Macaca mulatta: one gene and its partners. The protein of the gene in region 1 interacts with the protein of each later gene in a pairwise test. Links are inferred from orthologs where the notes say so. Each region holds a gene or a part of one and is shown in the gene's direction. Other genes may lie near its edges. The genes, in order: MEOX2, IGFN1, TRIM42, SMAD3, KDM8, PRKAB2 and RPL15.

Evidence for each region.
Region 2: the proteins of MEOX2 (region 1) and IGFN1 interact in binary tests that used the Homo sapiens proteins (3 or more experiments, as listed by UniProt). The two-hybrid records come from large-scale screens. The link is inferred for Macaca mulatta from reciprocal best matches to the Homo sapiens genes MEOX2 and IGFN1.
Region 3: the proteins of MEOX2 (region 1) and TRIM42 interact in binary tests that used the Homo sapiens proteins (3 or more experiments, as listed by UniProt). The two-hybrid records come from large-scale screens. The link is inferred for Macaca mulatta from reciprocal best matches to the Homo sapiens genes MEOX2 and TRIM42.
Region 4: the proteins of MEOX2 (region 1) and SMAD3 interact in binary tests that used the Homo sapiens proteins (3 or more experiments, as listed by UniProt). The two-hybrid records come from large-scale screens. The link is inferred for Macaca mulatta from reciprocal best matches to the Homo sapiens genes MEOX2 and SMAD3.
Region 5: the proteins of MEOX2 (region 1) and KDM8 interact in a two-hybrid assay, tested with the Homo sapiens proteins (2 studies listed by BioGRID). The two-hybrid records come from large-scale screens. The link is inferred for Macaca mulatta from reciprocal best matches to the Homo sapiens genes MEOX2 and KDM8.
Region 6: the proteins of MEOX2 (region 1) and PRKAB2 interact in binary tests that used the Homo sapiens proteins (3 or more experiments, as listed by UniProt). The link is inferred for Macaca mulatta from reciprocal best matches to the Homo sapiens genes MEOX2 and PRKAB2.
Region 7: the proteins of MEOX2 (region 1) and RPL15 interact in binary tests that used the Homo sapiens proteins (3 or more experiments, as listed by UniProt). The two-hybrid records come from large-scale screens. The link is inferred for Macaca mulatta from reciprocal best matches to the Homo sapiens genes MEOX2 and RPL15.

Annotation. Positions count from the first base shown.
Region 1 is NC_133408.1:112,580,303-112,584,594, forward strand, and holds the start of MEOX2 (homeobox protein MOX-2), read left to right. Parts: upstream 1-1,492; 5' UTR 1,493-3,467; coding exon 3,468-3,981; intron 3,982-4,292. UniProt on the Homo sapiens protein: Mesodermal transcription factor that plays a key role in somitogenesis and somitogenesis and limb muscle differentiation. Required during limb development for normal appendicular muscle formation and for the normal regulation of myogenic genes.
Region 2 is NC_133406.1:58,868,472-58,871,971, forward strand, and holds part of IGFN1 (immunoglobulin-like and fibronectin type III domain-containing protein 1), read left to right. Parts: intron 1-602; coding exon 603-744; intron 745-1,102; coding exon 1,103-1,402; intron 1,403-1,992; coding exon 1,993-2,292; intron 2,293-2,832; coding exon 2,833-3,006; intron 3,007-3,500.
Region 3 is NC_133407.1:43,688,760-43,692,259, forward strand, and holds part of TRIM42 (tripartite motif-containing protein 42), read left to right. Parts: intron 1-1,207; coding exon 1,208-1,905; intron 1,906-3,500.
Region 4 is NC_133412.1:44,588,101-44,592,386, forward strand, and holds the start of SMAD3 (mothers against decapentaplegic homolog 3), read left to right. Parts: upstream 1-1,486; 5' UTR 1,487-1,608; coding exon 1,609-1,814; intron 1,815-4,286. UniProt on the Homo sapiens protein: Receptor-regulated SMAD (R-SMAD) that is an intracellular signal transducer and transcriptional modulator activated by TGF-beta (transforming growth factor) and activin type 1 receptor kinases.
Region 5 is NC_133425.1:26,749,625-26,753,581, forward strand, and holds the start of KDM8 (bifunctional peptidase and arginyl-hydroxylase JMJD5), read left to right. Parts: upstream 1-1,157; 5' UTR 1,158-2,390; intron 2,391-3,957. UniProt on the Homo sapiens protein: Bifunctional enzyme that acts both as an endopeptidase and 2-oxoglutarate-dependent monooxygenase.
Region 6 is NC_133406.1:118,946,336-118,950,599, forward strand, and holds the start of PRKAB2 (5'-AMP-activated protein kinase subunit beta-2), read left to right. Parts: upstream 1-1,464; 5' UTR 1,465-1,600; intron 1,601-2,768; exon of another isoform or gene 2,769-2,814; intron 2,815-3,074; 5' UTR 3,075-3,097; coding exon 3,098-3,253; intron 3,254-4,264. UniProt on the Homo sapiens protein: Non-catalytic subunit of AMP-activated protein kinase (AMPK), an energy sensor protein kinase that plays a key role in regulating cellular energy metabolism.
Region 7 is NC_133407.1:24,558,344-24,562,281, reverse strand, and holds RPL15 (large ribosomal subunit protein eL15), read left to right. Parts: upstream 1-1,138; 5' UTR 1,139-1,147; coding exon 1,148-1,319; intron 1,320-1,718; coding exon 1,719-1,855; intron 1,856-2,465; coding exon 2,466-2,771; 3' UTR 2,772-3,562; downstream 3,563-3,938.

The DNA of each region.
Region 1 (4,292 bases):
TATAATGTGTTACTGGATATTGAAACCTTCCATGAAATATTGGCATTAATATAACTTTTCTTCAGGAAAACTCAAGTATATTGCAAATATTAGATAAATACTATGTCATATATAGTTTTAAATGATTGTTTATATAAATTTTATGATAAACTTTATAATTTTTACCATTCTTGATATCATTAAATAAAGAGGCATCTTCTCAATATTGGATTTTATGGATGTGAACACTGAAGTAGCTGTTATAGGAAAGCTAAGGATTTTTTTTTCCTGTTTTTACTACATTTTAAAAATTTCTCTAAAACCTAGAACATAAAATTCAATATTCTATCTTATTCCAAATATTTGAATAAATTAATATTTAAAAATCTTTATGTAATGATTAATACATATTTAGAAATCCAGAGAAAATTAAAGTCCTATTTAATTCTGGAATTTACCAAGACCTCCTTTTTAGTCCTTCATTTTTTTCCTTTCAAATATTTTCCTTATGTTGTGTTTTCTATAAGAAAACTGGACTTCATAATTTTTGTTGATATTAAATGTTTTGTGTCTCCAATTAAAAAGACCTGTCTTACTACCTTTGCTTTCATTGCATGCCTTTGCAATGACTTCCTCCTTTTCTAACCTTTCCTAAATTTTTCTTCTAGAAAAAGTTCTAGAGCCTGACTGACTGGGGCAGGTTGTAGAGAAACTTCTGGACAGATTGTTAACATCTGACACAATGAGTGAGAAAAAATCCAGCACAGTCACTGGGCAGGTTTAAGAAGAAGTGGCAGCTCTGGGAGATGAAAGATTTGTGTGTTCTTGTTGCTAGTTACCTGCAACACTCTGGTTAAATTCAAATCCATTCATTTGGTAATTGCTTAGCTTCCTCTAAACCAATGTAATGCAAACCAAAAGGACCATTGTGGATGTTTTGGACTGATGTCTGCAGATCATGTGTAATTTTAGTCTGTCTTGTCTGACATTTTCCACAATGCTTTAGTTGACAGCATTGTATTATGTAAATATTTCTGGTTAGGCTTATTGAGGTGGTTGCCTAAATCTCACTTTAAATAAAGCCTTTAATGCTTTCACCTAGAATCCATAGAGAAGCTACACAAGTTGGGGAAGTTTAGTGTTGCTCTTTGTACTTTAACTTTTAATATCAGAGCACATATTGAAACCATAAACACAATGAAAATACAAAAAATATTCCGACGATATTAGAGGACTATAACTCCCCCACCTCTTTTTATTCTTAAAGAGCCAAGGGCGTGGGGAGTGGCAGGAAGAAATATTCTTAAGATCTAAGTCCTGGACGCCATCCTGCTAGTGCTTAAAGCCCCTAGAAACGTGCAACCTGAACAACACCCCCTTTCGAAGTCTAAAACAATATTAGATTCCCAAAGTATCGGCAAAGAAATTCTTACCGTCAAAGACTTGCAGCAGGTTTCAGCTCAGACCCAGACTGAAAAGCTGAGCAGCTGGTGAACAAAAGTTTTAGTTTTTTTTTTTTTTTTAAACGAAGTCTGCAAAACTAATTTCCCTCAAAATAGAGCTCAATTTCCGTTAAAGAAAGCAGCGCTTACAAATCTCAGAATTCCTGATCAACCCCCACTCCACCCCACCTCTAAGCAATAGAAAACAATTCGATCTTTCACACGGATGTTTTTGAGAAGCCACTATTCTACAGCATGACTTACAAGAAAAGAAGATAGTGAGGCTTAAGCAGGGGGACTGGAAGAGGAGGGGGAAGGTTCTGCTTTGGGGACACCTCTCAAAGATTAATCAATACTTTTTCCTAATTCAAACCAGATGTCTAGCCCAGTTTGCTGTACCCATTAATCCCACTAACAACTTCAAAGACCTGCTCATCATCCTCTGGACACCTGAGACAATGAAAATAACGGGGCGACACTGCTGGTGGTGCATTTGGGGCCCCGGGCGGAATAGGTGACTACAGATATTCTCCTGATGCGACAGGTCCCAGATGGGACTTGACTGTTTCTCCTGCTCATTACAGAGCCACTCACTTGTGTGTAAACGACTCTGCCCCCAGCGGACCCTGTCACCCGCCAAACAAGTGGCAGTCTCAAAGCCCTGCCATCGTTCTTGCATGCTTACTGGAGGCAAATTTTCTAATTTATTTTCAGGGATGCAAAGTTATAGCCAAGTGCCCAAGCTTAGTGAATTTTGGGAGCTATCGAAATGTAAGATTTCTCAGTAAATGGGACGGTGGTGATAAGGGATGCGATTAGCGGATTTATTTTTGAGCGGAAGAGAGTGGATTTCTGTAGGAAACTGCGGAGACCTAGGCTAGCTCCTGAGGGGAAAGGCTAGATATGTGCGTGCAATCTACACATCTCATGTGACCGGGACAAAATCGCCTGGAAATATTTTTGACCCAGGAAAATTTCTTCTTGGTGGACAAGTGGCTAGGAAATTGAGCGGGACCAGGAAAGAGGGGGAAGGGAGACTCCACCTGGCATCGCACAAGAGGATGCCAGGGAACAGGCATCTGCAACCCTTTCAGACTCACGCCTTCCTCCCACCCACCCTACCGGGTCCCTCTTGGTTCCGCACTGAGAACTGCCTTTTCCAGGCCATGGTACTCATCCCCACAACCTCAGATCTGGCGTCCCAGCCCATTAACAATCCACCCACAGAAACCAGCTGTGAAAACCTAGGCGCGCTGCGGCGCCCAGGGCACTGGAAGATGCGAAGTTTGAAAAACTTCGAGGATGCGCCTAACTAGCTCTGATCTTTTCGTTTAACCCTATTACTTCTTTTGGGTTCCTGAAAGGCTAGGCATATCCCTAGCTTTTCTGCAGGTGACAGTTCACAAATGACACTGACAAATCACGTTTCCCGGAGAGGAAAGTGAGTAGGTAGGAATCAGGGTGCTGGGTTGGGGGTGGTGTGCGCCGCGCCCAGGCCTCCAGAGTCTGGAGGGCAGAGCTGCTGCCCTCCCGGGCGGGACTTAGGCACTGGCGTGCCGCTTGTAGCCCTGGCAGCCGGCAGTGCTGGGCGGGCGTGGACGCTCTGCGTCTGTCCAGCAGGCGATAGGAAGTGGAACTGGGGAGCGCGTGGCGCAAACTGAGCGGGAGTTTTGGAGGGAGTTTGCATGTGGTCAACTCTGGGCTCCTAAGCCGGCCCCCAGCTCACGTTACACTCTATTTATAACCTCTCAGAGCCATTTCCCCCTGAAAGCAGTTCTCTGGGACCACCTTCTTTTGGCTTCAACCTCTCCCACTCTTGACATCTGAGTAGTTCAGGGAAGCTCTTCCAGGTCCGACTGTTCATATGCAAAGGAGACTGGCCGCTGGGGCTCAGAACCGGGATTATCCGAGCTCTGCAGAAGTGCACGGCTATTGCTTTGGGAGGGTAAAAAAAAAATCATACAGTTTCCAGTGAAAAGTGACAGAGGGTGGTGGCCTTTGGAACCGTCCTGAAGTCTTCTGCCTGGAACCTGAAACTTGCATGCTATGGAACACCCGCTCTTTGGCTGCCTGCGCAGCCCTCACGCCACGGCGCAAGGCTTGCACCCGTTCTCCCAATCTTCTCTCGCCCTCCATGGAAGATCTGACCATATGTCTTACCCCGAGCTCTCTACTTCTTCCTCATCTTGCATAATCGCGGGATACCCCAACGAAGAAGGCATGTTTGCCAGCCAGCATCACAGGGGGCACCACCACCACCACCACCACCACCATCACCATCATCAGCAGCAGCAGCACCAGGCTCTGCAAACCAACTGGCACCTCCCGCAGATGTCTTCCCCACCGAGTGCGGCTCGACACAGCCTCTGCCTCCAGCCCGACTCCGGAGGGCCCCCAGAGTTGGGGAGCAGCCCTCCGGTCCTGTGTTCCAACTCTTCCAGCTTGGGCTCCAGCACCCCGACTGGGGCCGCGTGCGCGCCGGGGGACTACGGCCGCCAGGCACTGTCACCTGCGGAGGCGGAGAAGCGAAGCGGTGGCAAGAGGAAAAGCGACAGCTCAGGTAAGGGCTCACCAGGCACCCTCGAGAGTGCGCGCCGGCCTGGAAAGGGGGCGGAGAGATGCCAGGGGAGATTCTCGCACTACAGGGTGGCAGCGGGGAATATGGGAATGTGTTGCCCTTTGTGGCTTCCCGCGGCCAAATTCGGCGGTGAAGCTTTGGTCCTGATATTTGGGGGACACGTGTTTATCCGAGAGCAATGCATATACAGCCAGCAGCTCTAAGCTCTCCAAGGTCCTAAACTAGTTTACCAGAAGGTTGATAAAAAAGGACAAGTGGCTGTGAAATCGATTGCGAAGCGTGACCTTCCATCC
Region 2 (3,500 bases), on another chromosome or scaffold:
TAATGTATCCACCTCAGGAGAAGTTTAAATAGCCAATAACTTGGTGTGTTTAAAATAAAATTGGATTTTTAAATGATGTGTATCCTACGCCCTGCAGCACACCCCTTGTTCTTCCACCATCCAAAACGCCTCTTCTATACCCATACCTGCTGAATCCTACCCATCCTTCAAAGGCTTGTATAAATGCCATCTTCTCATCCCTACCAGAAGGGGGCCCTCGTCTCCCTGCACAACCTCCCTGTCCTCCATTAAAGCTGTCACCCCAAGAGAAACATCAAAGTGACTCAGGGCATGAGGCTCAGTATCAGCTAGGTCTGGCTTCAGATCCCGGCTCTGCCACTACCAGTTATGTGACCTCAAGCAAGCTGGTGAACAGTCTGGCTTCCTCATCTATGAAGTGGGACTAATAATAGCACTTACTTCATAAGATTGTTAGACAATTAAATAAGGTGCTAAGCACAGAGAGCATTGGCACACAGTAAGCATTCCATTCACACAGCTGTTATCAGGATCCCAGCATCTGTAAAGGGCTCTGGTTAGCTGGCCTGGAGGAGCGGGGATGGGAATGGGGTGACCTTCTCCTGCTGTGGCCCTGTCTCCAGCTCACCGCCCAGGATGGAGTCATCTTTAAGCAAGATGGTCTCGTGCACAGCCTCTTCATCGCGCGCGTGCAGGGGACCCAAGCTGGGAGGTACACCTTTGTAGCTGGTGACCAGCAGAGTGAGGCCACTCTGACCGTCCAGGGTAAGGCCTAGCCCTGCCCTGCCCTGTCCCATAGTCTCTTTGTACCAGGTGATATGCCTTGCTTTAAAACACCTGAATTTGTGGCTACTCTGCAGCCAGTATCTAATCTCATCCCCAGAGAAGATGATTTAAAAAGCCAACTCATACTCTGTCTATTCCAGCATCTTAGCTCTTTCCTTGTCAGGAAGTCCTTGATGAGGTCTAAGCCTGGTCTCTCCCGCTGCAGATGAAGCCCCTTCCCTTTGTGGCAGGGCAGGGGATTCCTTAATCTTCCCCCAGACTTCCTTCTCTGCATCCTCCTTTCTGCATTCCCCAGTGCCCAGTGCTCTGGTCTTTGACTCTCTTGTTTTATTTCCAGATTCCCCTACCATTGCTCCAGATGTGACAGAGAAACTGAGAGAGCCACTGGTGGTCAAGGCTGGGAAGCCGGTGACAGTGAAGATCCCCTTCCAGAGCCACCTCCCCGTTCAGGCTGCCTGGAGAAAGGACGGGGCCAAGGTGGTGGGCAGTGGTGACAAGGAGGCCCAGGTGGACCTGGGGGACCGCTACACACGGCTGTGCCTCCCCAGCACAGGCAGGAAGGACAGTGGCCAGTACAGTGTGACGCTGAGGAGTGAGGGAGGCTCTGTGCAGGCCGAGCTCACCCTGAAAGTCATAGGTACCAACCCCATCTTCCCCCAACCAAGGCCTGAGAGTCCCCAGGGTTGTGGGCCCTCCCTGCCATCAAGGGCAGGCCTGGGGTGTGATCTCTGGTGGCTCTGATCCTCATTTGCATGCTGTTTAAGATCCAGACCTACCCCGAATTCTGCTCAGACTGCTTAGGAAGAAGCAGTTGAGATCAACACAGTGCCGGGCTCCTGCTGGGTGGGGGGGAGCCGATTATGCTTCTCTGACCCCAATGCACTGGGCCCTCAGGAAGCTGCTGGGTAGGATGGCGGTCCCCAGCCCTGAGTGGTGCCAGCAAGGTAGGACTGCTGTGGGCCGAGCAGGTGCCCATACCAGCCCCCCGATGGTGGAACTGGGACGGGCTGGTGCACTCCATGGCACATCCCTGGGTGCACATATGTGTTGGGGGTGGGGACGTCTCAAGAGTGTGTGACCCTCTGGGTAATGCCCAAGGCTCTCTGGACAGTCTGCCCCATTGCAGGCTTATCCACTGATGAGTGGCAAAGGGGGGCGGGGAGCGGCGCCGTTCCAATCTAGCTCCTCTGACCCCTCCTCTTCCTGCTCTTCTCTGTGGGTCCCCAGACAAGCCTGATCCCCCACAAGGCCCCATGGAGGTTCAGGATTGCCAGAGGGCTGGTGTCTGCCTCCGCTGGCGGCCCCCAAGGGATGATGGGGGCCAGCCTGTAGAGTGCTACGTGGTGGAGAGACGGCAGGCTGGCAGGAGCACTTGGCTGAAGGTGGGCGAGGCCCCCGCTGACAGCACCACCTTCACGGATGCCCATGTGGAGCCAGGCAGGAAGTATGCCTTCCGAGTGCGGGCTGTGACCTCGGAGGGGGCTGGCGAGGCCCTGGAGTCTGAGGAGACATTGGTGGCTCCTGAGGGTAAGAGAAAAGTCTGGGGCTGGGGGTGGAGGACACTCCTGGGCTCCCCGCTGTGCCAGGGAGGGCAGGCTGTCCCAGAGGCTGAATGACACCAGCCTGTGCTCAGGGTTTTGGAGGCCCTTCTATAGCACTCTGGAGACTCCTTCCCTCAGCTGCATTTCGGATCTGGCACCCAGATGAGGAAGTGTTTTACAGAGTCTCCGGGAGTGAGGGTATGGGCCAGCAAAGCCTACTGTCTCACGCCCCAGGGAGAGAGGGGCATCCACCTCCAACATCCTATCAGGGGACCGGAGGCGGAGGGGCCTCAGGGCTGGCTCTAGGCTCCGAGGCCACGGTGCCACGGTGCCTTCTCTGTCTTTTCATTCCTTCCCTTGAATAGCTGGAACACTGACCTAGGGTGGGCTGGCTCAGCCCCGACACTCGCCAGGACCGGGAGGAGTGTGGCCTGCCCCAGATGCCCGTGCCTCCTACCCCCAGGGGCTCCCCGTGAGCCGGCACCTTTCAAGGCCTCTGGCTGACTGGAATCTTCCTTGCCCCCAGCTCTCCCCAAGGCCCCTTCCGCGCCAGCCATCCTGTCAGCCTCCAGCCAGGGCATCACGCTGACATGGACAGCACCTAGGGGCCCTGGCAGTGCCCACATCCTGGGCTACCTGATCGAGAGGCGTAAGAAGGGGAGCAACACCTGGACAGCAGTGAACGACCAGCCGGTGCCTGGTGAGCATTGTCCTGGCTTCCAGAGCTTCCTTAGACCGCTCCTGGCTCCAGGATGCCAGGAACTTGTCAGTTCAGATTGGTTTAATACAGTGGTTCTTATCTAGGGTGGTTTGGCAGTATCTGGAGATATTTTTCATGGTCACAACTGGGTGGAGGGTAGATGTTACTGGCATCTAGTGCAAAGAGGTCAGGTATGCTGTTAAACATCCTACAGTACACAGGACAGAACCCACCCCCTCCTCTCAAAAATCCCAAAGAAGTATCTGGCAAAAAAAAAAAAAAATGTCAATCATGCTAAGGTCAAGAAGCCCTGATTCAGAAATCCCAGCTGGGAGCCAGAGATGAAGCTGTTAGCCCTGGCCCCTCCACTTCTTGCCTTGACCTTGGACAGTTCACTTCCTCTCTAGATCTGAATTTCCACATCCATGAAGTGGAGAAGAGGGTCCCCTGCCCCACTAAGTAGTTTCCTAAGAAACAAACTGCATTCTGAGATC
Region 3 (3,500 bases), on another chromosome or scaffold:
GACATTAGCTGGCTAGTAGCAAAGGGATGTAATTACAGTGGCCACATTTACTGAATGCTTACTATGTACCAGCAGTTAAGCACTTACATGGATTATCTCATTTAGACTTTATAAAAACCTCACAAAGCAAGTAGTATGGTGAGGTTTGATTTATAGTTAAGAAAACTGAACATGAGAGAGGTTTAAAAAAACATCTCAGAAGGTACAACTGTAAAGTGGTGCATTTTTATCACACACGCTCTGCCTCTAAAGCCCAGATCCATTACCATTACCTATTGGTCTGGTTGGCAGACCACACAGGTTCTAGGCTTGGCTCAGGTACAGACTTGCTCTGTGTTCCATCTATGTACAATAAATAATGTCAATGTCCTCCAGGGGAAAAAAAAAAGCCCTAAGAACACACCTGTAGTTGGACAAGATTGTATTTATTGACTCATTGCAACAAGTGAGAATATAAAGCATGGGAAAGTGTAAAGTACCTTGAAAAGTTATTACAGGATTTGAGCTCATGTTAGGTGAGGACACGGGAGTAAATCTATTGAATATTTTAATAAATCTTATCTAGAAGGTGGGAAGAACAGAATGACCCAAAAGCTGCTGGAAAAAAAAGAAAAAAGAAAAAAACAAAACAAAACAGTTTTTTGGTTTAAAAAAATCAACCAGGATAGGGGGATGTTGGGTCATTTTCGTGATTTAGACAACGTTCTTGTCTGAGTCCAAACATTATAAAGTGGCCTTGTTTCTGCTTTGATCCAAAGTCACAGAGTAGCCTTGTCTGATACTGTGTTCTTTGATATTACCGATGTCCAACGGAACACCAAGGCCTAGCTGACAACGCCTGACCAGTCTCTGCGGCTTTTCCCTTGCTTAATAACAGCAAGCAGTTGCAGCACACTGACTGTGTACCATGGACTGCTCTTAGTCCGTACGAGCATTAAACTCAATTTTAATCTTCTCAAGAAACTCTGACATGGGTACTAATTTTATAACAAGGAAATAGGCCGAGAGGTTAACTGGCTTACCTGAGGTCACCCCGCTGAAAAATGGTGGAGACAGGTTGAGAACGCAGGCACCTTGGCACTCAGCTGAGGCTCCTCACCACCACCCTAGACTGCCCCTCAGAAACCAAGAGTTCTTTCAGAGGTAGAGAGGCAGAGCAAGCTCTTGAGCCTGCCTCCTGAAACCCTGCCTTTGCTTCTCCTTTCAGCTCCAAGACTGCCCTGCGCATTGGGAGCAGCGATACCCAGCTGGATGAAGTGAAATCAGTACCAGCCAAAAGCCACCTGGTGAACCACCTCAATTGCCCCATGTGCAGCCGGCTGCGCCTGCACTCATTCATGCTGCCCTGCAACCACAGCCTGTGTGAGAAGTGCCTGCGGCAGCTGCAGAAGCACGCCGAGGTCACCGAGAATTTCTTCATCCTCATCTGCCCAGTGTGCGACCGCTCGCACTGCATGCCCTACAGCCACAAGATGCAGCTGCCGGAGAACTACCTGCGCGGGCGCCTCACCAAGCGCTACATGCAGCAGCACGGCTACCTCAAGTGGCGCTTTGACCGTTCCTCCGGGCCCATCCTCTGCCAGGTCTGCCGCAATAGGCGCATAGCGTACAAGCGCTGCATCACCTGCCGCCTCAACCTGTGCAACGACTGCCTCAAGGCCTTCCACTCGGATGTGGCCATGCAAGACCACATCTTTGTGGACACCAGCGCCGAGGAACAGGACGAGAAGATCTGCATCCACCATCCATCCAGCCGCATCATCGAGTACTGCCGCAATGACAACGAATTGCTCTGCACCTTCTGCAAGTTCTCTTTCCACAATGGCCACGACACCATCAGCCTCATCGACGCCTGCTCCGAGAGGGCCGCCTCACTCTTCAGCGCCATCGCCAAGTTCAAAGCAGGTCCTCCCCTTCTCCACTCCTTCAGCCTAACTTCTAGTTCAGGAACACATGGGGAAGATGGCGTGGGGCAATGTGCTAAGTGAGTGCCTTAACAGATTCCACCTAGTGGAGCAATCAAGGCACCAGGAAACACTGTGCTATCCTGCAAGTCACTATCCTGGTGTCCGCTCCTGGTAACCACTACCAGTCACTTAACTTCTCCGTGCCTTGCTTTTCTCACCTATGAAATAGGGGAATAGTAGTGACCCCCTCACTGGATTGCCATGAGGATTAAGTGAGTTACTCTATGTAAAGAATGCAAAAAGTCATATGACAAGTGCATAAAGATTCTATAATCTTGATTATAATCTGCATGTCCTCAGGTCTCATTTTCTCTTTTGGAAAATGAAGACTTTGATCCTATAGTATACTGACGTTCTGTGATGTTCTAAGGTGTTCTGTCACTGTTGGATCGCTTTGGTTTTCCTAAATGTGCAGGGGGAAAGAATTAAGTCAGTGCTGAGAATTATCTCAATGTTAAATTTCCCTCCATGAATTTTTTCCAAAACTTGCAGATGCCAAAGTAAATAAACTGGCAGCAAACATATAACAACAGGGACAATTCATAACTAGCCAACGGTATTCTAGTCAACAGCTTGTTTTTCCTCTGCATTCTTGTTCGTGGTGATTTGGTTGTTTTATATTGTTACATATAATATTGCTTTAAGTGAAATAATATTTCAGTGATGGTTTCAGTGATGGAACCAAGCATAATAATATTTCACAGGATTCAGCAAAGAGCCCATAATTTCTTGTTTCAGTGACAAAACCAAGTATAATCATATTTCACAGGATTCAACAAAGAGCCGCATAATTTCTGGGTATGTCTCTACCTGGTCAGACATTAGAATCCAAAAGATTCCTTTAGTGCCCTTTACCCTCAGGAATAGTTCCTTGTATAAAGGCCAACTTTACTCAGGCCTGTGGAGCACATTTTGTCTAATCTCAATAGTGCTACAGTACAGGCATTAAAATGTCCTCCATGGATAAGCCAACTGTGGTTCAAAAAAATAATTAGGACAGGCAGCTAATAAGTGGCAGATGCAGTCTATTTGACTCCAGTGTCCACCATTAATTCCACAACATTTATTTGACAATCTACTCTGTGCTAAGCAGTGACCAGAATCTGAAGATGAAGAGATTGAAGGGGAGGAAGGGGGAACCACCACCACCATCCATGGTCTGTTTCATTAAGGAGTGGCCTGCAGTCAGTTACCAAAGTGCACCAGATCAACCCAGGCCTTTCCCATTGTCAGATCTGTTAGTCTCCAACATTCAGATAGGCCTATACATTGGGAGGGAGGCAGCTTTTCCTTGAGCTGCACAGAAAGGTCCCACTGGATATAAAGGTGGATCCAAAACAGACTTTGCTAATGACCACATCACCCCTGACTTCTCAGCAGCTTCAGGAATACCTCGAGTTTTCTCAGTTGCCACATACCTGGAAACATTGCTTGTCAATTGACATTTATTTAATTCTGGAACCACCACCAGGGAATACTTCATATTAAAGGAACCCTGCAGGAGCCACATGTTATCAAGAAAATGGTAGAACT
Region 4 (4,286 bases), on another chromosome or scaffold:
CAGACGCCCCTGAATTCTTTTGGTGGGGTGAAAAGCCCCGGAGCTCCCCAATGTGCCAGTTGGTTTGTTGTTGTTTTGCTTTTTTTGAATACACAAACTCTCCGAATACTCTTGTCTTGCCCCACTTTTTTGTGAGTTCATTGCTCTGGAAACAAAACTCTTCCATTTACTGGGAATTATCAAATTTCCGATCTTTCTCTATCAGGAGATCCAGCAACACCGTGTTATGTAAATTTCTTCCAAAGATAAATTCGAAAGCACCTCCATTCATTCCTTCAAGAACTCAACAGATGTCCTTGAGGCTCATTTTCTGCCGGGCACTCAGTTCAGAAGGCTCAAAGGATCCCTGGCTCCAGCCATTGTCCAGGTTGTCACTGGTGTCCCCAGCTCTCCATTTCTGAGGACCCACTTCTCCCCCCCCCACACCCTCCTCCGCACACTTTCCCAAGGCTCTCGGCCGGTGTGATCTCACCAACGAGAGAATAAAAACAGCCCAGGGGCGCGGGCGCGGGCGCGGGCGCCGGCCAAGAGCCTTGACGGGGATCAGCCAGCGCGAGGCCAAGTGCGGGCCCCAACTTCCTGGGCCCGGGCCTTCCGCGCGCCCCCTCTCGGGCTCGGGTCCTCTCCAGGGTTCACTCCCGTCCGGACGGCGCTTACTTGCTGCGAGTCCAACCCTCTCCGGCCCGCAACTCCAACCGAGCCGCACAAGTGTGGACTCCGAGAGCGGACGCCTCGGGCCGCGCTCAGCCCTCCCGCCCGAGGCCCCTCTCGCCGCGCGTTTCCCAGGACTTCCTCCCCGCGCCCGCCCGACTTCAGGTCGGGGCCGCGCGGGGTCCCGCGCGCTCCAGCCAGGACTGCCGCCGCCCGCGTTGCCCACGTGGGCGTGCTGGGCACGGGGTGGTGGCCGGCCGGCCGGCCGGCCGCCCTCCCCGGAGCAGGGGGCGGGCAGGGCGCCCGCGGGAGGAGGTGGCGGGGCGCAGGGGAGGAGGCGGAGAGCCCCGGCGGCGAGGGGGCGGTGACAGCGCTTGGAAAGGAGGCTGCACGCGGATTTGCATGAAACACAGACTGGGAGCGGGCGGGAGCGGGAGCGCGGCGCACGCCCCGGGCCGGCCCAGCCAGCGAGCGAGCTAGCGGCGAGCCGGGAGGAGGAGGGTGGCGAGGCGGCGAGGCAGCAGAGGCGGAGGGATCTGCGCATCAAAGCTAGCAAGGCGAGCGAAGTTTGGCCGGGGGTTGGACTTTCCTTCCCGGAGGCGGCACCCAAACAGCTACCCCGTGCGGAAACCCAAACTTCTGCTGCCACTTGGAGTCTCGCGGCCGCCGCCTCCGCCCCGCGTTCGGGGCCTTCCCAACCCGGCACCGCTGCCGTCCGCCCGCCCGGCCGCCCTTCTCTTCGCCGTGGGAGCCGCTCCGGGCGCAGGGCCGCGCGCCGAGCCCCGCAGGCTGCAGCGCCGCGGCCCGGCCCGGCGCCCCAGCAACTTCGCCGAGAGTTGAGGCGAAGTTTGGGCGACCGCGGCAGGCCACGGCCGAGCTCCCCTCTGCGCCCCCGGCGTTCCGTCGAGCCCAGCCCCGCCGGGGGCGCTCCTCGCCGCCCGCGCGCCCTCCCCAGCCATGTCGTCCATCCTGCCTTTCACTCCCCCGATCGTGAAGCGCCTGCTGGGCTGGAAGAAGGGTGAGCAGAACGGGCAGGAGGAGAAATGGTGCGAGAAGGCGGTCAAGAGCCTGGTCAAGAAACTCAAGAAGACGGGGCAGCTGGACGAGCTGGAGAAGGCCATCACCACGCAGAACGCCAACACCAAGTGCATCACCATCCCCAGGTGGGGGCCCGCCCGGGGGACCCGGGGACACGCCGACCCGGCCCCCTGGCACTGCGGGGCCGACCCATTGGGGTTGGAGATGGGAAGAGGGAGAGAGAGGGAGTGAGACTGTGTGGGTGCGTGTGTGTGAGAGTGGGAGCTAGAGCGCGGGCAGGAAGGGGGTGGGGGGACCCCAAACAAAACCATCTCTGCATTTGCAAAGATCAGAGCCCGAGGCTTCCACACGGTACTCTGGCTTCCAGACCTCACATTCCCTTTCCACCTCCGGGAGGGGAGAGCGGGTTGTTGCGGGACTCGGCCGCCCCCACCCTGGGGAGCTGGGGCTGGAAGTTGAGGCCCGCTTTGTTCGGCTCCGCGGGCCGGAGCCCCTCCTCCGCCGCCGCCGCCTCCCGCCCCCGCGGCCCGCGCTCGTGGAGGTGGTGGTGTCTTTGCGTTTCTTTTCTTCAGTCCGGTCTCCCCACTTTCCTCTACAGGAATGCGGTCCGTACAGCTGGGGCTGTGGGTGAGGAGCGGGAGCCTCGTGATTGACAGATTCCTTCTTCGTTCTTTCTTTGCCTTCGGGATTAGCATTTTTATCGAGTATTTTTAGACTCGGTTGTGCCAGTCTCCCGCCCCCTGAGCACGCACGCACTTTGGTTGCAGTGCAATGCTCTGACTTCCAAATGGGAGAGACAAGTGGCAGAAAATAGGGTCTTCTCCCCCACCTCCCACTCCCCATCCCGACTCTTTTGCCCTCCTTTTGGTCCAAGAGATTTTGAGTCCGTGCAGAATGAGGGAGAGGGGCGGGCTGGAACCGGGCAGATAACAAAACACACCCCAAAGTGGGCCTCGCATCGGCCCTCGCATTCCTGTAGAGCCCTCCTTCCCAAAGCGCGCTGCCATCTGTCTGCATCTCCTTTATCCTTCCTGTTGCGCGCTAGCTAGGTCGGGCGGGAGCCCACAGATGGCTGATAGAAAGGGTCAGTGACTTCTCTCCACTCCCCCAGGGCCTTCCTTAGCTTAGCTGTGCCTGGCTGGGAATTGGGGGTGGGGATACCTTGACTTCCTGTCTCTACCTCTCAGCCTCCTTTGATTCTGAATCAAGGGAGAGAGTGTGTGTGTTGGGGGCTGGCTGTTTTGGGGGTCCCAGGCTGCAGAGGAATGAGTAGAAAGCACCAGGGACTGTAAGCCAAAAAAGGGATTGTCATCCCTGCCCCTGGGCCAGGGTGGACTCCATCCTTGGCCACCTGCTTGGGGCAGTTGTACAAGGGCTGCCAGGCGAGTCAGGCAGGCACAAAGCAACATCTGTCCACGGGAACCCAGGGCAGGCCTCCCCTGGAAATAAATGCCACATATGGTGGGAGTGCAGACTTAAATTTTTTTTTTTTTTTTTTGACTGGGTGGATCCAGTCAATAAAGGGGGAGGGAAGGCGGTGTGCTGTCTGGGGAAGTCCCTGGCCGTGTGATCGGGAGCCAGAATTGACTTCAGAGGAGGTGGTGTGATGTGATGGTCAGAGAGACCTGGGATTTGGTTCCAGCTCTGGTTCTTAATTCTTCTGTATTCCTTCGGTGGGGGTGGAGAGGGTAGAGTGGGTGAATATGCTACTTCTCTGTCTGGGGAGGGGTCTGTCAAACCTACCTTCCTCTTATCTGCCTGGGTGCATTGAAGACAAGTGCTTTATGCATTGAAACAGGAAAAAAAATGGTATCAATTATAAAACAGGCAGCTGTGAAAAGTGTTTCACGGTTTACAAAGCACTTTCACATGGTTTTCTGAGGTCCTCAAAACAAGATAGAAAGCAAGCAAGCAAGCAACCAGCCCTGGAAAGTAGATAAGGTTGTTAGGCTTAAGATTATCACGTTTTTAAAGCAGAGGAAACTTTAAAAGAGAGAGGTGAAAAGGCTTGAGTTGTAGACGTGGGATTCTGACAGAATGTGCTCTTTCTGCTGACCCATGCTGCTTTATACTTTGAAGATCCTGAATACATTCTTTGCTGAATGCTAAAACTGTGTTAGCTTGGGGAGGGCCCTGTGGATGTTTGTATGTGCGGTTGCTTCTTTAATCTTTGGGCTGGTGATCGCTTGGCAGAGAGGCCCTGCTTTCCCTTGCCTTGGTAGGAGTTTGTCCTCTGTGGGGCCATACCTTTGGCCTGCCTTTTCCTCTTCCAAAGTCCTGCTGAGACTTTGGAAGCCTAAGACATGTGAACGCTTTGGATGATTCTGAGGGTTCAAGCCAACCTGCCCTGTGGCCTTCTCGTGACTTTGTTAGGACTGAGGCATCTTCTGCCTGCCTGGATAGGACTGAATGCAAAAGCAGATTTTTTTTTTTTCATCTTTTTTTTCAGTTAGGGAAACCCAGTTGCTTGGGTGGATCCAGACAAAATGGATTTTCATCCTTGGATTTTGTGCCCACGCCTCTGGGTCACCTTGTGTCCCTTGGCAACAGCTGCTGCTGTTTTGGTCGTGGGCAGAAAACTAAAGGCCACGTCTTGG
Region 5 (3,957 bases), on another chromosome or scaffold:
GTGTGAAGAGACCACCAAACAGGCTTTGTGTGAGCAATAAGGCTGTTTATTTCACCTGCGTGCAGGTGGACTGAGTACAAAAAGAGAGTCAGTGAAAGGAGATGGGGTGGGGCCATTTTATAGGATTTGGATAGGTAATGGAAAATTATAGTCAAAGGGGGTAGTTCTCTGGCCGGCAGGGGTGGGGGTCACAAGGTGCTCAGTGGGGGAGCTTCTGAGCCAGCAGAAGGAATTTCACGAGGTAATGTCATCAGTTAAGACAGGAACAGGTCATTTTCACTTCTTTTGTGATTCTTTAGTTACTTCAGACCATCTGGATGTATACACGCAGGCTTGGGCTCAGAGGACTGACAGTTTCCCTTTTCACTTGGTTCTCATCTTCTCTTGTGTTCCGCCATGTCAGACGTGCCTTTCACCTTCCACCATGATTGTGAGGCCTCCCCAGCCATGTGGAACTGTGAATCCATTAAACCCCTTTTTCTTTGTAAATTGCCCAGTTTCAGGTATGTCTTTGTATCAGCAGCGTGAAAGTGGATTAACATACTCCCTCAAATAGGGACGATCATGATCATTACAATAGCTACAATCTTAATATTTTTAAAGCACAGTACCTAGAATCCACTAATCTATGAACTGATCTTGAGCAAGCCTGTTTCCTACTCAGACCCCAAGCTCAGTATGAACATAACTTTCCATGCCTCTGTGCAATGCTGCAAAAGGCGGAGCCCATAGGAGAGTGTGCTCAAAACACAAAGTCCCAGTGACCCCGCACCACTCGACATCAAAGCAAACGTGGCAGGAGTGTGTCCTCTGGCCACTTGCCTTCTCACTCGAACAGACTGTGGATGTAGCACTTGCTCGTGGGTAATTGTGGATCTGACTTTCCAAAAGTACAAGTATGTGGCCACTTTAATCACTGAGCTTCAGTTTCGCTCTCTGTAAAATAGGGAGAACTAATAATCCTAGCTGCAGGGATTAAATGGTGGATGCAAACAGCCTTGTACGAAGTTGTTATCTGTGCAGAAGAAAAAGCGGGTGTCACTGGCATGGAAGGACCCGGAGGATACAGCCCAGCCTTTCTCTGTCTTGTCCATCCCCTGGTCTTTTAAACGCGAGTGGGGCGGGGCCACGGCATCGATCACTCGGCACTCCTCTAGGCACTGCGTCGTGATCAGACGAGCGGTGAGCGATCGATACTCCTATGCTAGCGTCTGACTCCTGGGGGGAGACAGCCGCGTCGTCGGACCAAAAGCAACGAGTAGTCGCCAGCCCAAAGGCGACTCGACACCGTCCCAGCTGAAGAGAGGTTAGTCTGAGCAACTCGAGAGCGGAGTCAGCTCCAGTTCCTCAGAAGTGGAGAGGCCGGGTTCAGAGGCATAGACCGCGCAGGCGTCATGTGAAGCAGCCAAGCCCGGCCTCGCGCGTGCGCCTTGGAAAGCCCGAGGCTTGCTCGAGTCGGCGCATGCGCTCTGAGCCGGCCTGCGCTGCTGGAGCGAGGGAAAGGCTCTGCGCGTGCGTAGTGCTCGTCTTCTGGCAGTGGTTTGGCGCATGCGTGAGGGCAGGCCCTTAAGGCCGGCTGCTGTGCGCTTTCGCGGTTCTAGGCGTCTAGTCGGTGTAGCCCTAGTGCGCCTGCGCGGATTGTATGCTCTGGTGTGTGTGTGTCCGCTGGTTTTGGGCAATCAGCCGCTGCCTCTGGGCTGCAAGGCCGGCTGGGAACGATTCAGCCGTCAGGTCCCAGATAAGAGCCGCGAGAAATGTAGCTCCGGGAAAGGCGCTGAGGAGGAAAGGGGGTCTGAGGCCTCGGGGGGCTCAAGGCTAATGCGGGGTACGTGGGACCCTGTAGGGCCTGGGTGTGTGGCTGCCCTAAGGAAAGGTGCTTGTAGCTCGGTAAGACTTAACGATGGGCATCGGTGCGTTTCCCAGCAACGGTAAGAATCGCCGTGCTCGGGAGGACACGGGAGCAAGCCCGGGGTCAGGAGGTGCGCGGGCGTTGGGGCCACACGGATGACCCAAACACAAGACTGTGTGCCCCTTCGTGAGCCAAAGGGATCCTTGTGCCATGAATAAAGCTCTCTGGAAAATTCCAAACTTCTCTGGGAAGTTTTACAAAGCTCTTGTTTTTGCACAAGTTTTGTGGAATACTGCCATAATAACATTGAAGAGATTAGATAACTGGATTGCCTGTTCCAAGAAAGCCCGATGTAGGCTGACCTGTCCTGGAAGCCCCCTTTGAGAGGCTTTCTCATGACCAGCATGGTGCTCGCAGAGTGCCCACCCTGAGACCCTCTGCAAATCACAGTGAGGCTCTCGGAGAGGCCGTTCCACCCAGCCACCTTAAAGAATACTCAGGGAGGTGCTTTAGAGGAGTGGATGTTTAAAAATAATTTAAGGCAGGGCGCGGTGGCTCATGCCTGTAATCCCAACCCTTTGGGAGGCCGAGACAGGCCGGTCACTTCAGGTCAGGAGTTCACGAGACCAGCCTAGCCAACATGGCGCAACCCCGTCTCCACTAAAAATACAAAAATTAACTGAGTGTGGTGGTGCACACCTGTAATCCCAGCTACTCGGGCGGCCGAGGCAGGAGAATTGCTTGAACCTAGGAAGCAGAGGTTGCAGTGAGCCGAGATTGGGGCACTGCATTCCAGCCAGGGTGAGAGGGGACTCCGTCTCAAAAAAAATAAAAATAATTTGAAAGAATCCTGGGATGGCAGGGCAGTGGTTTCCAAGAGGGATATATCCCGTAACCTACCAGGAACCCACTTTGCTAGTGTGCATAGTGAATTCTGTCTGGATGCTGAATTTATAAAGTCCAGGCCCGAGTCTTCAGACTGTTATATACAGGCTATACGTGGCTCCTTTTTGTTTAATACGGCCAACAAGAAGCCTTTTATAAGATTCATCTTAGTCTTGTTTATAAATCCAGGAGAAAAACCACTCTAAGAGGTTAGGACATGACAGCCTATATTCTGACCTTTGCAAGGTCATTTCATACACCAGCAGACAAGACTTTAAGGAGCATTTAGGGGCTGAATCAAGTCCACTCAAAAGCTGTTTTGTGCAACCCACGCTTGATCTTCCCCCGAAAGCCGTTCCAGGTGATGAGGCCAGTTCACAAACCAGGACATAAGACCACTCAAGCTGTTTCTATACCTGATCCCCCAGCCCCCCGCCAAAAAAAAAAAAAAAGCCCTCCCTGGGCCGGGCATGCTGGCTCACGCCTGTAATCTGAACTTTGGGAGGCTGAGCCAGGCAGATCACCTGAGGTCAGGAGTTCAAGACCAGCCTGGGCAACATGGTGAAATCCCGTCGCCACTAAAAATAGAAAAATTAGCTGGGTGTGGTGGCAGGCGCCTGTAATCCCAGCTACTCAGGAGGCTGAGGCAGGGGAATCACTTGAACTCGGGAGGCAGAGGTTGCAGTGAGCCGAGATGGCACCATTGCACTCCAGCCTAGGTGACAGAGTGAGACTCTGTCTTTAAAAAAAAAAAAAAAAAAATGCCTTCTCCAATCAACAAGAGGTCTTTGAAGGCCAATACCTGTTGAGCTCTGGGAGACTGACTTGTAAAGTGAAGATACGAGGCCACTCAGGCTTTTTCATATGGCCCACATTTGGGTTATGGTAGGTGTGAGTTTGCCTGGAATAACACCAGTTTTTTACTGATGCAGACATAAATATTAATAGCATCTTGGTCTGGATGACCCACATACACCTGGCCACTAGAAGGCTATCTGTACGACTCCCAATAAACCCTTTTACGTGGAGCTCTTGAAGGCCAGTGTGTGGCACCACTCTCAAAGACTGCTTCACACATCTTTTTTCTTCTTGCAGATAACTGGCAAGTCACACATCTTATTCTCGACTCCCTTCTTTGGAAGCCTGTTTAGCCTTTTGTGTGTGTGTTCTTTTTTTTTTTTTTTTTTTTTTTTTTTGGGAGGGACGGAGTCTTGCTCTGTCAC
Region 6 (4,264 bases), on another chromosome or scaffold:
AGGCAGAATGGTCGATCTGAGGAGACCAGTGGCAATGATGTCCTAGACACAGTAACATCAGGACAACCCCCACCAATTACTTTTCCTATTAGCCCCTTCTTTTCCTTCCCTTTAGAAAGAAGAGCATTGGGGCCGGGCGCGGTGGCTCACGCCTGTAATCCCAGCACTTTGGGAGGCCGAGGCGGGCGGATCACAAGGTCAGGAGATCGAGACCACGGTGAAACCCCGTCTCTACTAAAAATACAAAAAATTAGCCGGGCGCGGTTGTGGGCGCCTGTAGTCCCAGCTACTCGGGAGGCTGAGGCAGGAGAATGGCGTGAACCCGGGAGGCGGAGCTTACAGTGAGCCGAGATCGCGCCACTGCACTCCAGCCTGGGCTGGGCGACAGAGGGAGACTCCGTCTCAAAAAAAAAAAAAAAAAAAGAAAGAAGAGCATTGGGGTGACAGCAATAAATCTAAAGGGAACAATTATACTGATACTGGTTAAGAAGATCTTGTATCTTTACCTACTTATTCCTGAATCTAAGAAAAAAAAAGGAATTTGGGACTAAGGAGAATTCATTCTTCCTACAGTGTCATATTACATTTGTTCTGTGTCTAAAACATGCAATATTCAAAATTGACTTTTATTATTAACTGTTGAGTAACTTACAAATGTTGTTAGAGCAGAGCAGGGCAGAACAGTGTCATGGATAATCTTCCAAAGGAGATAATACAAAAGTCATTTCCATTTAGCTGTGTAAAAACAGTTTATTTCTCTCCTTCAGTTTTCCATTGGCTAACATAGTTAGTTTGTTTCTGCTAAGCTGATTTCACTACTGCAAGGAAATACATACCAAGGACATATTATTTGGCATGGTGAAACCACCTTGGGGTCAGAAAACTGAATACTACACAAGTCAAGGTTTAATGTATCACACCTTGAAGGGCCTTGCTTCAGTGTCCTATGGTAAGGAATTGAGGGGTGGAGGGAGAAAGGTAGGGATAACCAAAAAGAATGTACTCAGACAGTAAAGATTTCAGAGGGGTGAGCAAGAAGTTGCAGTAAAATCGTACCTTTTTTTTTTCCTTCCTGTAAACTGTCTTCGGTTTATGAGCCAAAGAATGAGTTTATAAGGGGCAGAGCAAAGAATGGGGGAGTAGTGAATTTGTTGTACTTAAGTGGGCTGTCAACTTCATAATATAAAAATGAACTTTTCAACAAATAGAGCTGCTCACTCAGAAAGGGTGGCCTATGTAACTTGGGGTTCTCCATCATTGGCCGTGTTTAAGCCTAAGTGGCATATCTTGATAGAAATGGATTACAGTAAACAGTATTCCTGTATCCTTCATTCCGCAAATACAAAAGCCTGCTCTGTACAAGGTACATGCAGAATATGAAAAGGTATCAAATCTGGATCTGCTCTCTGCCAGCTGTCAAAGCATTGCTTCTCACACACGTTAATGTGATCTTGTTAAAATGCAGATTCTGAACCCTGGGGATGGGGCCTGATTCTACATTTCTAACAGGCTCCCAGGTGATGCCAACGCTGCTGGTCTGTGTAACACAGATAAACGTTTCTAGTAGAGAAGGCGACATGCAAATACTTCTAATACAAAGGTAAGTACCTTAGGGATTCCACTAATTTTCATAAAAAACCTGGATCCCTCCCAACCCTACGACTGTCTTTGCCTTTTTTATACCTTTAGGGTTCCTTCTGATGTTTTCGTTGTCGCCATCTTCCTTGAATTTTATTTCTTCTGAGGTTTCTCACTGCATATGCTGTTTCTTAGACTAGGAAAGCCTTTTCGTTATTCTCCTAAGACTAACATTTTACTAATTTGTCAAGGTCTAGCTCCTAAATACGCCATCTTGAATTTTCCCTGCGACCCCAGTCGGGCTGACAGCTCCTTCCTTGTCGCTCCCTATTGAGCAGGTTTTTCTTGTGGGGGGGGGGCGGGGAGGCGGAGGGACGGAGTGTCGCTCGGTCGCCAGGCTGGAGTGCAGTGGCGCGATCTCGGCTCACTGCAACCTCCACCTCCCGGGTTCAAGCTATTCTCCTGCCTCATCCTCCCCAGTAGCTGAGACTTCCGGCGCGCGCCACCACGCCCAGCTAATTTTTGTACTTTTAGTAGAGACCAGGTTTCAACTTGTTGGCCAGGATGGTCTTGATCTCCTGATCTCGTGATCCGCTCGCCTAGGCCTCCCAAAGTGCCGGGATTACAGGCGTGAGCCACCGCGCCCGGCCAGAACAGTTTTAACCTCCAGCAATGGCCATTGCTTCCTTCTGCCTGCAGTTGGAAGTCAGTTTCAGTTTTCTTATTCCCTGTAAGGAACCCCCCTCTCCCGTCGCCTAACACACAGATGCTGCCCAGAAAACGTGCTGGCGCACCTGAGGCGGGGTAGAAAGCCGCGTCGCTTCTCCCGGCACCGAGCGCCGGAGCCCAGGGAGGCGGCCTCCGAGTGTCCTGTGGGAACGTCCCTTCCGCCGGGTAGTCTCAGAGGCCCAGCGCTCCAATTATCCCGGGTGCAGTCTCCCCAGGCGGCACAAGCCCTGCCTGGCGCCCCCTCCTGGCGCTGGAGGCTGCGTGCGACTGCCCACCATCGAGGCGGCGGCGGCTAGAGAGGCCGGCGGGCCCGGGACGCCGAGGCTGCAGGCCGCAGGGAACGCGCACGGGGCCGACTCCGCGCCGCCGGCCTTGTAGCCATTTTAGGAGGAATCGCTGATCGCCAGCGAGGGGTGCGGCTTCAATTTCAATAACTTTATTGGTGGCCTGATCTGCAGAACAGTCATCACTTCAGTGGTCCCTGGAGGAGGGAGCGCATCGCCCGAGGTGACTGGCGTGGGGGCGCCCCTGGCAGTGAGCGCGGGGACGCGGGGGAGTCCCGATAGCGGGTTTCCTGACTAGGGGCAGCGAGGGCACCGGGGTATTTGCAGGCATTCCCGCAGGCCAGGAGGGAGAAGGCTCCGGGGCTTGGCCTCCCTGGGGCGGGGAAATCCCTTGCCCCGTCCCAAGGCGTATGGGCGGGGCCGGGGGGCGCCCCTGACGCGGCTACTGAGGTGTTCCCAGCCCGGTGTGGTTCTCCGCGGTAGGTGGTCCCCGACGAGCTGCAGCCATGGGAAACACCACCAGCGACCGGGTGTCCGGGGAGCGCCACGGTGCCAAGGCTGCACGCTCCGAGGGCGCAGGCGGTCATGCCCCGGGGAAGGAGCACAAGATCATGGTGGGCAGTACGGACGACCCCAGCGTGTTCAGCCTCCCCGACTCCAAGGTAAGCGTCCCACGCCCGCAGTTGGTGGCAGTACTGCAGCGGGTTGATTTCCGGGCTCCTCTTCCCTTTCTTGGTTCTTTTCTGCCGCGCCGAACCGGGCTATGGTTTTTTGAATTAAAAGGATTTTTCGGGGACAGAGGTGTTGGATGGTAATCCCTCTTGCAGTGCCGCCTCAAAATAGGATAAAGAGGCGGAGTTCTTGTTTTCCTGGTGTTCTGACTAATCTGTTGGCCACATTTTTAGGATGGGGACAATAGACATCCCCGATCCTTGGTTCTTCCTAACATGCACGAGTGGCTCTCCTCTATAGCGTTGCTGAATTTGTAGTTTGTTAGCCCTGGTGGACAACTTCAGAGGGTAGGTTGCACGAGTTGCTGACCATAGGTGGTAGTTTCTCACCTTTGCCCTGAGGTGGCTACATGAAATTCTTTTTCTGAAAATTTCTATGTATCAGTATCATTTTTGCCCTTCTAGCAGCTCTGCACTTGTGATCTTCTTCCCTTTTGGCACGGCTGTAAGCAGCAACTACTTGCTTATTGAATACTTTCCCCTAGTCTTGGGGATCAATTAAGGACATCATTTGGTTGACTGCTTAATTTTTGTCCCATACTTTATAGTTGTGGTGGCTGAGGCTGTGCCTCTTTCACGCCCCGCTGCTGCTCCGCAGGTGGAAGAGCCAATGATTCCACGACTTGTTTACTCTCCAGTAGTACTTCAAAATGTTGCGTGGCTAAAAAGCGACAATCCATAGCTGCCTTGAAGACCTTGCTCTCAATTCCAAGGACTTTCAGGAAGAGCCAACTTGTTTTTTCACTCTGTAAGAAAGGACAGATGGAGCTGATAGCAGCGATTACCATTCTAATGTTTCTAATCGCTTTTAGAGCTGTCAGCATGAAATACATGTAGTTTCTCCAGGTAGACTGACTGGATGAGATAGAAAAATGGAGGGCTTGAGGAGATTGGGGTGTGTTTGATGTTTCCTATCATTTCGTCACTTCCCAGGGAACTGGG
Region 7 (3,938 bases), on another chromosome or scaffold:
CTGAGCCCGTCGTGCGGGGGCCAGAGAGCGACAGCGCAGCGCGGAGACGCAGAGACTACGCGGGAAGAGAGCCGGCGGTGCGTGAAATAAACCTGTTCTCTCCTCTAACCTCAAAGACAGCGGCTCACCGCGGTACGCGGTCACCGGCTTTGGAACCTGGACCCCAACTTGCCTCTTCTCGCGGCGGGACAGTCACCGACGCTCGCTTACCGAGGCCTCGCCGCCCACTCTCGCACCCCGGCCGCTCAGGCTGGAATCCTGCGGGGCAGGGGGCGGGACAATAGGGGCGGCTGCGCCCCACTCGGCAGAACTCCGCCCACCAGGCGCGATGCTGGAACTACATGTCCCATGAGGCTCTGGGAGGCCGCAGTTTTCCACCGGAAAGAGGTTGGCTGAGGTGGGGGAGGAGCCCAAAAGGGATTGTGGGAGTACAGCTCTTTCCTTTCCGTCTGGCGGCAGCCATCAGGTAGGCTGCGTTGGAGATCTTTGCTCTTCCATCCGCCGTTGATCGTCTTCCTCTTCAACCATCCAGGCCCGGGGACCCTGCGTCCTCCGAGATAGGTCTCTCTCCTGTGCGGCCAGAGTTTAGTCAGGATGCGGGACAGCGAGGGGGTGGAGAGGCGGCCCCCGGGGCGGGTTGAGCGAAGATGTGATGGCGGCGCGAATTTGAGCTGGGCCCGGATCCTGGAGGAGGCGTGGGGCTGACGAATGGGGCGCCCGGGACAAGGCAGCCTAAAGAGAGACTGCTGGTTGGGTGGGCTAGATGCATTTTCCTCGAGAGTTAATCCTCGGCGGCCGCAGCAGTACGTTGCCCTGTTGTGTCAGCGGCATCTCCTTGCAGGTTCCCCTTGGGGACGCCGCCTGCCGCAGCCACCCGCCCCCTTGGTGCTCACCTCTGGCTCTGTTCATTCGCCCCACCAAAACGTGCCGAGCACCGCGCCGGGGTTGCGGAGGTGACTGAACGCGGCTCCGTGGGCGCATTGGTGGGGGTTGGGCTAGCTGTCCCCGGCAGTTGGTGCAGAGCCATTTTCATTCCCGGCGGTTTCCTTGTGCTTGTTGGGGAACTAAGATGGACGAGTAGGGTCGTCTTATTGTACTTCAAGCGGATGATATTTAATACCCAGTTTGATTTCACAGGTAAGCCAAGATGGGTGCATACAAGTACATTCAGGAGCTATGGAGAAAGAAGCAGTCTGATGTCATGCGCTTTCTTCTGAGGGTCCGCTGCTGGCAGTACCGCCAGCTCTCTGCTCTCCACAGGGCTCCCCGCCCCACCCGGCCTGATAAAGCGCGCCGACTGGGCTACAAGGCCAAGCAAGGTACGTGATCGACTGCCTGGATGCTAGGATAAAGTTATATTCCAGGAAAGTTGGAAACCAGCTGGTAGGAAAACACTGCTGCCCCAGTGTCTTCTCATAGGGCTTTGGCAGAATAGAGCTAGCAACACTGGTCAGTTACTTTATGCGCTTGTTGTCTAAAGTGGCAAGTGCGTCAAAGGTTGCAAATCTGGATGAGTTCAGACTAAAGCAAACAGTGTGTCTCCCTGTGTGAGTAACCTAAAGTACATTGACAGACTGGGATGTGTTTTATTTTTTTCCATTAGATAGCATTAACTTAGTGTTGAAGTATTTTTGGTGGAGTGTTAATGACAAGCCATTGAGTCTTAAGCCTGATGGGCTTCCTATAAAATCACTAATTTTGTGTGTGTTTGTGTGTAGGTTACGTTATATATAGGATTCGTGTTCGCCGTGGTGGCCGAAAACGCCCAGTTCCTAAGGGTGCAACTTATGGCAAGCCTGTCCATCATGGTGTTAACCAGCTAAAGTTTGCTCGGAGCCTTCAGTCCGTTGCAGAGGTAAATGGTTTTGAGTAGCAGTTATATTGAATACTGCCTGGGGACGGTGGGAGAGACATTTAAGCAACTCTTCTGATTGTACTTAACGTGAACTGTCTCGTGTATAAAATAGGGTTTGTGATTTTTACTAATCTTGGTAAAGAGTAATTGCTTGAAAGACTTGTAAGTCGTTATTACAAATGCGTGTGTATATACTGGAAGTACTTGTGGAACCTAAGCTTTAAAGGCAAGAATATGCAGAAGAGACCAAATGTGGCCTGCACAGCCTAAAATATATACTAGATATTTTTAAAGCTAAACGTTGCTGAGCTCTCAGTTGTATTGGAAAAAGATAAGGTCCTCAAATCCTAAATTTTGTTACCCAGGTATTAGTAAGGACTGGAGTATTAAGAGGGAATGGTGTGTTTCAGTCTATATTTATGTGTGTTGTTTTAGCAAGTTTACTTTATCTCGTTATACTTGTGATAGTCTAGGGAGAAATGCTTCGTAAATACTTGAGTAGTAAAAGACTCCTGTCTGGTGGTGAACTAGAGTTGAGAATTAAAATTCTTTCTGACTCGCTGCTATGGGCAATGTGGGAGACTGACCTTGGCCTTTTTTCCTATTCTAGGAGCGAGCTGGACGCCACTGTGGGGCTCTGAGAGTCCTGAATTCTTACTGGGTTGGAGAAGATTCCACATACAAATTTTTTGAGGTTATCCTCATTGATCCATTCCATAAAGCTATCAGAAGAAATCCTGACACCCAGTGGATCACCAAACCAGTCCACAAGCACAGGGAGATGCGTGGGCTGACATCTGCAGGCCGAAAGAGCCGTGGCCTTGGAAAGGGCCATAAGTTCCACCACACTATTGGTGGTTCTCGCCGGGCAGCTTGGAGAAGGCGCAATACTCTCCAGCTCCACCGTTACCGCTAATATAAGTAAAGTTTGTAAAATTCATACCTAATAAACAATTTAGGACAGTCATGTCTGCTTACAGGTGTTATTTGTCTGTTAAAACTAGTCTGCAGATTGTTTCTTGAATGCTTTGTCAAATTAAGAAAGTTAAAGTGCAATAATGTTTGAAGACAATAAGTGGTGGTGTATCTTGTTTCTAATAAGATAAACTTTTTTGTCTTTATCTTATTAGGGAGTTGTATGTCAGTGTATAAAACATAACTGTGGTATAATAGGTTTAAAATAAATTCTTTAAGAGAACTGAAACTAGCCCTGTAGATTTGTCTGGTGCATGTGATGAAACCTGCAGCTTTGTTGGTGATGGCAATGCTGTGCTGGTTTACTTTCAAGTGGCTGGGTTTTTTTAGTTTGACAGGTACAGACTTTTTTAACTGGGCTTTAGAAAATCTGGGTTAGCCTGAAGAAAATTGCTTCTGCCTTCATAGTACCATTTTAAATTCACATAAAAAAGGTGAAAGCTCCCTAGTTCAGTGCTGTGGCTTCATGTAATTCAATGATTCGTGGTAGTGGTATTAATACTGGTGTGTTTTGAAATTGAATGTGAGATAAAATTAGCCTTAAGATTGGTAAGCTAGCAATGAATGCTAGGGTGGGAAGCTGGTAAGCCAGTGGCCGTTAGATAAATACCTTTCAAGTGTGAGAAGTCAATCCTAAAATATTTAACCGTAATGCTAATTGTGATCATTATGAATCCTTTCAGTCACATTAGAGGGGAAAGTAGTTGGCTATAAGTACCTCATTCTTAGTCCAGTCAGTCTTAAAAACATCTTGGGTTACCCATTCTGTGCACTCCCATAGGCTACAGAAAAGGTCATAAGCGCATGGTTTGCAACCGTATGTGTTTTGTGCAGTTACTTCTCTTGTTCTTGGCCAAACTACCCTAAAAATCCTTACCATTCCACAAAGTTGGGCCATCACTTGTGCTCCCAGTTTGAGTACACCACCACATTGCATTTCTGTTTCTATCATGTCTTCCAGGAAACTAGACTGTTTCCCAGGGTGGATTTGAGTATAAAGAAAAGGTAGACAAGGAATTGCCCAATTCTAAATTCTGACTTTACTGACTTAAATCTAAATGCTCGTTTCTCTGAACCAATTTTCTCTGATCTTCTCTAGGGGTTTCAA